Linked DNA regions of Oryctolagus cuniculus. The protein of the gene in region 1 interacts with the protein of each later gene in a pairwise test. Links are inferred from orthologs where the notes say so. Each region holds a gene or a part of one and is shown in the gene's direction. Other genes may lie near its edges.

Region 1 (4,352 bases):
GGGATAATTTTATTTAATCATCAATCTCACAGGATTGAAATAATGCATATGAAGTCTTTAGCAAAGACCAGAAAATGGTTAAGTCCCAAGTTAAATATTCAGTATAACAGTAGTATCTGCAGACTACTTACTAGTTTCTGGTGGGTAATCTCTGAAACCATAGGCACTAAGGGAAGAATGGTGACGCTGTGGTCACTGGGTTGTGCTGAGGGAGGAACTGCTGCTGAATGACCAGGGCTCCATTGCCAAATTACTTACTACCCGCGGACTACGACAAAGATTTACTCTGGGACTTGAGGCTTGCTATGGACTTGTGATTTACTGTGTAAACAGATCACGGTTTAAAAAAAATCAAAGCTAAATCCGAGCGAAGGGTATATGAAAGTTCATTTTACTAGTCTATTTTGGGGGTAATGCTTTGAGATTTCTCAAGAAAAAGCTAAGATGTAACAATTTATTGGAGCAGTAACGTCGAACTGGGCCCGTGTTTGTCACTTCCACCACCTAGGTTTGTCTAGGCGTACTCACCTATAAAACAGATGTTAGTACCCATTTCCAAGGTCAAAACTTTAAAATATGTAAAACGCTTATTATACTGGCTGGCACACTGAGCAGGTGCTTATTTAAACTGAACCAGTCCTGGGATCTGGGTATAAACTACAAATCGCAGAAAGACGTGGGGGAAAGGGGGCGCAGAGAAGCGGTAGTCCCCCCACCGCACCCCTGCGGAAGCCCCTCGGTGGCCTTTCAATTCTCCAAGGTCAAGGTCTCCTCTTTCGGTCCAGTCGGGTTCCATCGCGACAATTCTCAAACTCGGAAAACACTTCTCTTGACAAAAGTCCTGAAAGACAGCGGCAGGCTTAGCCTTCCTACAACATGGCGTGACTCCCTGGCCGCTCACTGCCCATGACGAACAAACACTACGTTCAGTCCGCAAAACGCCCCAACCGGCACAAGCGAGCTCCGGCCCAACGACGCAACCGCACGGAGAAACATCTCGCGAGCCGCCCCCAACAGCCTACGGCAAAGGTGACTTCCGGAGGCGCCGGAGCAAAGGTGCCGTGAGGACGACCGCGAGACGCTAGGAGGCTTAGGTGCCTAGGACAATGCCGCCTAAAATTCTCCGCTTACCAGGATTTTAACATAGGTTAACGGGGCAAAATCTCCAGGCTCCAAACTCTAAGGTCTACACGAATAGTTCGTAGTCTCTCTTGAGGCAGTGGCAGTCTCATCGGGCAATTTTTTTCTTCAGGCATTTATAGTGGCCACCTCAACCCCCAATCGCTGAAGCGCGCGCACAGGGGAAGTAACCACCGCCAGAGGGGGTGGGTGGGCGGAGTTTAAATGTGCACGCATGCGTAATGAGACTTAACGCAGGCGCAGTACGGTCCCCGGGCGACGACGGCGGCGGCTCCTCGGGGTGCTCGGCTCCCTCCCATCTAGGCCGGCCCCTGCCCGTCTCGCCCCCAGCAACTCACTGTTTGGGGCTACGGACTTTCTAATCGTGCCCCACAAAAGTAACGCTTGGGGACCTGGGGGAGCCGGAAGTACCGCCTCGTGATTCCCCAGATACTATCGGGGAAACGGAAGTGACCGTCGGAGGCAGGTTGGGGGAGACCGGAAGTGACGGTACCGTGGGGAAGTCGGGGGCGGAGCCGAAGGGTGGTGGGGAGTGTATGTGTATGGTGTTTGGCTGTGGCTGTGTGTTGGTTGTGCTGCTCTCTTGGAACACCGAGGGAAGGCGGAAGTGGGGGGGCAGTCAGCTAGCCGGTCCAGCCCCCCGTGAGTGTCCGCCGTCCGGGTCTGTAGTGATTTAGGCGGGTTCGATGGGCGTGGCGCGCGTGCGCGAAACCACTTTCTCCGCGGAGTCTGGCGCGACTCCCACTCTCGGGTTGTCCCAGGGTTTGTCGACTTCTGGGACCCTTGTAGTGCCGTGACTGGTGATGACACGGGTCTCTGGTCCCATGCTTGCTTCTTTTCCCGTATCTTAAGCCGACTGACCCGCCCTCATTGTGATTGGCATTGTGGAGCTCCTCCTACCTCCTGTCCTTCGGTTCCCTGTGCCGTCGATCTGCCCTTTGTGTTTCTCTCTCGTTGCCCCGGAATCGGAAGGGGAATGGGGGCGGGTGTGAGTGTGTGTGCTTGTGCGGGAGAAACTTTTTAGGTATTGGGGCGGGGATTCAGCCCGGGGAGGCTTCCTGGATCTAAAATCGGCTCCGGGCGACAGTGGACCTTCCTCTCCCCCTTCTTTCTTAGAGAGGTGTCGGCCATGGAGCCCAGTGATAGTACCAGCACCACTATGGAGGAGCCTGACAGCCTGGAGGTGCTGGTGAAGACCTTGGACTCTCAGACTCGGACCTTTATTGTGGGGGCCCAGGTGAGACCCCGATACTTCTGGAAGACATCTGTGGGCCCTTTGTCCCGGGGGCCCATTAGACGGAGAAGAGCCTGATGTTCTAGTCCTTGAGTTTTCATTGATTTCTTTGTTCACTTTTTTAACTGTTGAGTGAGGCAGATTTTTGTTCTGCCTTCTTTCAACTTGGTGGAAGTCAGTGCAGAGAATAGGAAGGAGGAATCTGTACGCTGTCATCTTATGTGGCCTCCAGCCCAAGGGGACAGCCTTTGGGAATGGACGTGATACAGTGACCCCCAAACAAGTGTGTCTTCTATAAACAGAAATTGGTCACATGGGTGTATACTCTTTTTTTTCCTGTCTCCTCTTTCCCCTTCTCTTTCTTTCTAAAAAGAGACAGAGCTTCCATCTGTTGGTTTGCTTCCCAAATGCCTGCAGTGGCTGAGACTGGGCAGGAGCTGGAAGCCAGGAACACTATCTAGTTGGTTGATCCATCGATTTTGCCTCCCAGGGTCTGTGTTAGCAGGAAGCCGGAGCCAGGAGCCAGAGCTGGGTATTGACCAGCCACTCTGATATGGGATGTGAGCATCTTAATTGCTAGGCTGGGTGCTCACTGCCTATACTGTTTTTTAAGTATGCGCATAAGAATTCGTAATGAATAGAGCTTTTGTAGACAAGCGAGTGGAATTACTGTATTTGCAGCATACTTTGAAACTCTGTTTAATGCTGTGGACACAGCTGTCTGTGCCTTTACTCCTGAAATAGCTAGAGACAGAATTGTGAGCAGACTGATCTATAGTTTCATAAAATATCACATGTTATTAAGAAAATAATATGGGCCTTTGTGGTTAGATGTATGTAAACATTCTAGCATTTCATAAGAGTGAGTTTTCTAGGTAGGAAAAATGACTTTCTTTTTTTCTCTCCTTCCTTCCTTCTTTCCTTCCTTCATTCTTTTCTCTCTTTCTCTTTTTTTTTCTCTCTTTCTTCCCTTTCTTTTTGCTACCTTTTCTTCTTGGCTAGTCTTCCCTCACCTGATTCCCTAACCCATTCTCCTTGCCATTGTTTCTGTCTTTGAGATTACAGGGTTGTCCTGGTATCATTTTGTGTTTGGGAAGGGGTCACTGGTAGCACTGAGCGCACCTTCCCTTGGGAACCAGGCAAAGAAGGAGAGAGGGGGCTGGCAGTCGGCTTTCTTGTTTCTTATCCACATCTTCTCCTGGTCTGTGCCATGAGTGTCCTTGAGTTTACTGCTTCTGTTTTGAGTCAAGCTTTGCACGATAGTTACCTCACATAGGAGACAATTGGCTAGTGATTCTATATGAGTTCTACCTCTCACCTTCCCTAATGCATGGTCCCTCTTCTGTACCTCCTCTGTCCTTTATCTGACTCCTGTGTGTGTCCTTTCTTCCTTGCAGATGAGTGTGAAGGAGTTTAAAGAGCATATTGCTGCCTCTGTCAGCATCCCCTCTGAGAAACAGCGGCTCATCTATCAGGGGCGAGTTCTGCAAGATGACAAGAAGCTCCAGGAATACAGTAAGGGGGTGGGGAGGCACTGCAGAGGTAGAGGATAGTGTTCAGAGGGATGAGCTGAGGCCATGGGTTTACCTGATCATACAACTATTTTGATGTATGTCTTTTTCTTTCTGCAGATGTTGGGGGAAAGGTTATCCATTTGGTGGAACGGGCTCCTCCTCAGACTCAGCTCCCTTCTGGGGCATCTTCTGGGACAGGGTCTGCCTCAGCCACCCATGGTGGGGGACCCCTGCCTGGTACTCGGGGGCCTGGGGCCACAGTTCATGACCGGAATGCCAACAGCTATGTCATGGTTGGAACCTTCAATCTTCCTGTAAGCTTGTGTTTTGCATGGCAGAGTTTTTGTGGGGAAGGGTAGTTTGGTTGGTTGTGGTATCAACAGGAGGCCCATCAGATGCATGTGTCAGTCTTCAGCTTGGAGGGCTCTGTGGTTTAGTGTTGGATTTGGACTCAGTCTTTGAGG
Region 2 (2,735 bases), on another chromosome or scaffold:
CTGTGGGGGGGGGCTGGGGGCCTGGGCACACTTGAGCTGTGTGGGGAGAGGCTGGGGGCCTGGGCACACTTGAGCTGTGGGGGGAGAGGCTGGGGGCCTGGGCACACTTGAGCTGTGGGGGGAGAGGCTGGGGGCCTGGGCACACCTGGGCTGTGTGGGGGAGGGGCTGGGGGCCTGGGCACACCTGAGCTGTGTGGGGGAGGGGGCTGGGGGCCTGGGCACACTTGAGCTGTGGGGGGGGGCTGGGGGCCTGGGCACACCTGGGCTGTGTGGGGGAGGGGCTGGGGGCCTGGGCACACCTGAGCTGTGTGGGGGAGGGGGCTGGGGGCCTGGGCACACTTGAGCTGTGGGGGGGGGCTGGGGGCCTGGGCACACCTGGGCTGTGTGGGGGAGGGGGCTGGGGGCCTGGGCACACTTGAGCTGTGTGGGGAGGGGGCTGGGGGCCTGGGCACACTTGAGCTGTGGGGGGAGAGGCTGGGGGCCTGGGCACACTTGAGCTGTGGGGGGGGGGCTGGGGGCCTGGGCACACTTGAGCTGTGGGGGGAGAGGCTGGGGGCCTGGGCACACCTGGGCTGTGTGGGGGAGGGGCTGGGGGCCTGGGTACACTTGAGCTGTGGGGGGAGAGGCTGGGGGCCTGGGCACACCTGGGCTGTGGGCTGCGCCAGGGGTGGACGCAGGTCAGCAAGGGCCAGTCGCCTCCGAGCTGCGTCCCCGTCCGTGGCGGGGCCAGCCACCAGCACGGGCTGAGGTGTGGCCAGGACCTGGGCAGCCGTCCAGGTGCACTGAGTCAGAGCAGCGTGGGTGCTGGGTGCCCGCCCTGAGCCGGGGTGGCAGACAGCTCATGCTCCGCAGGCCCCGACGTCGGAAGCAGGACGACTCGGGTGGGGCGTCCGCCCTGGTCGCCGCACCTGCGCACAGCACAGCGGGGTCCCGGGCCGTGTTCCCGTGTCGCAGGCTGGGTGCACAGTCCCTGCGCTCAGGGTCTCCAGAGTTATGTAACCGTAACCGCAGTCTAATCCCAGAACATTCTCGCCCCAAAAGAAACCTCACACCCATTTGTGGTTGCCTCCCCCAGCCGGCACCCACGCATCCACTTCCTGTCTCCCTGGATTCGCTGGGAGCGTCCTGCTGGTGGAGTCGCTCAGGCTGTGGCCTCTGTGCCCGCATCTCCGTGAGCGTGGGGTCCTCGGGTCCCTGCATGCCGTGGCTGCGTGGGCCGCGCGCCCTGTGTGCCCGCTCACCTGCGAGGGGCACTGGGCCGGCCCGGCGGCCACGTCTCGGGAGACTCGTGGGCTTGGCTGCAGGGCGAGACGCGGTTGTGGTCGGCGTCTTCCTGGAGCCCGTGATCGCGGTGCCGGCCCTGTCCTGGGAGCCGCGTCCGTTTGAGTCCTGCACGTGCTGCCCGTGGGGGCCGCCCTCGCCCGGCTCCGCCCCCCGTGGCCGAGGGCACACAGCCTGCTGTGGGGGGTGCGTCGACCACTGCAGTCCGGGGGTCTGGGCACCGGGGCTCTGCAGTGTTCTGGAAGGGCCGCCCTGGGCGTCGCTGGTCCCGCCGAGCAGCGCCCTGCTCTGGGAGACCCCCGTGGGGGTGTCTGGGAGGGGCCCAGGAGGCAGTCCCCCTCAGTGACCCCTGTTCTGCAGGACTACACCTGCCCAAGATGCGAGTCCGGCTTCATCGAGGAGCTTCCAGAAGACACCAGGTGACCTCGACCGTGGAGGCCGGGGGTGGGCACGCTGGCCGTGCAGGGGAGGGGCCCCGCGCACGTGCGCTCACAGCGGGAGGGGCAGCTGCTCCCGCCTGGCACAGCCCAGGCCAGGGTGGGGTCCGCGCCCTGGCTCACAGGGGCCCTGGCTCTCAGGTCCAGAGGTGGGGGCACAGGCAGGGCGTGACCCCTGGGGGGCCCCCGACAGACACCGGCGCTGACACCGCTGTCTCCCCAGGAACACAGAGAACAGTTCTGCCCCGTCCACAGCCCCCACCGACCAGAGCCAGAGCCGGCAGCCGTTCGAGGTGGGTGCGGGCCCCTGGCCTGAGGGCCGTCCCCGCTGGGGTGGGGGCCCTCCACACGCCCCCTCCCACTGCGGTCCACCCTGCTGGGGCAGCAGCAAGGCCAGCGTCACCTCCCTGGCGTCGCCCCGAGCCCCGGCCAGCAGTGACAGAGCAGCTGGCGAGGGCGTAAGCTTCGCCCTCGGGCTCACGCCACACGTGGCCTCAGTGGCCGGGGCTGGGCCAGGCCGCAGCCAGGAGCCTGGACCTCCAGCTGGGTCCCCCGTGGGGGTGGCGGGGCCCCAAGCACTTGAGCCATCCCTGCTGCCCCCCCCGCCCCCCCCCCCGGGCCGTCAGCAGGGAGCTGGGTGGGAGTGGAGTCGCTCGTGGGCGCCGGCCATGCAGGCGGCGGCTTCACCTGCCATGTGCCCACGGTGCCGCCAGGCCCGGCCTCCGGCCACCGTCCCTCTCCCTCCCCCGGCCTCCGGCCACCGTCCCTCTCCCTCCCCCGGCCTCCGGCCACCGTCCCTCTCCCTCCCCCCGGCCTCCGGTCAGCGTCCCTCTCCTCCCCAGAACGTCGACCAGCAGCTGTTCACGCTGCCGCAGGGCTACGGGCAGTTTGCTTTCGGCATCTTTGACGACAGCTTTGAGATCCCCGCGTTCCCCGCTGGGGCGCAGGCTGATGACGGCAGGGACCCCGAGAGCCGGCGGGAACGAGAGCACCAGTCCCGGCACCGGTATGGCGCCC

What was found. The genes of interacting proteins can lie anywhere in the genome.
Region 2: the proteins of BAG6 (region 1) and RNF126 interact in binary tests that used the Homo sapiens proteins (3 or more experiments, as listed by UniProt). The link is inferred for Oryctolagus cuniculus from reciprocal best matches to the Homo sapiens genes BAG6 and RNF126.

Annotation. Positions count from the first base shown.
Region 1 is NC_091436.1:138,962,242-138,966,593, forward strand, and holds the start of BAG6 (large proline-rich protein BAG6), read left to right. Parts: upstream 1-1,466; 5' UTR 1,467-1,606; exon of another isoform or gene 1,607-1,782; intron 1,783-2,256; exon of another isoform or gene 2,257-2,260; 5' UTR 2,261-2,269; coding exon 2,270-2,377; intron 2,378-3,771; coding exon 3,772-3,889; intron 3,890-4,005; coding exon 4,006-4,202; intron 4,203-4,352. UniProt on the Homo sapiens protein: ATP-independent molecular chaperone preventing the aggregation of misfolded and hydrophobic patches-containing proteins.
Region 2 is NC_091447.1:58,384,802-58,387,536, reverse strand, and holds part of RNF126 (E3 ubiquitin-protein ligase RNF126), read left to right. Parts: intron 1-1,641; coding exon 1,642-1,700; intron 1,701-1,941; coding exon 1,942-2,011; intron 2,012-2,560; coding exon 2,561-2,735. UniProt on the Homo sapiens protein: E3 ubiquitin-protein ligase that mediates ubiquitination oF target proteins. Depending on the associated E2 ligase, mediates 'Lys-27'-, 'Lys-29'-, 'Lys-48'- and/or 'Lys-63'-linked polyubiquitination of substrates.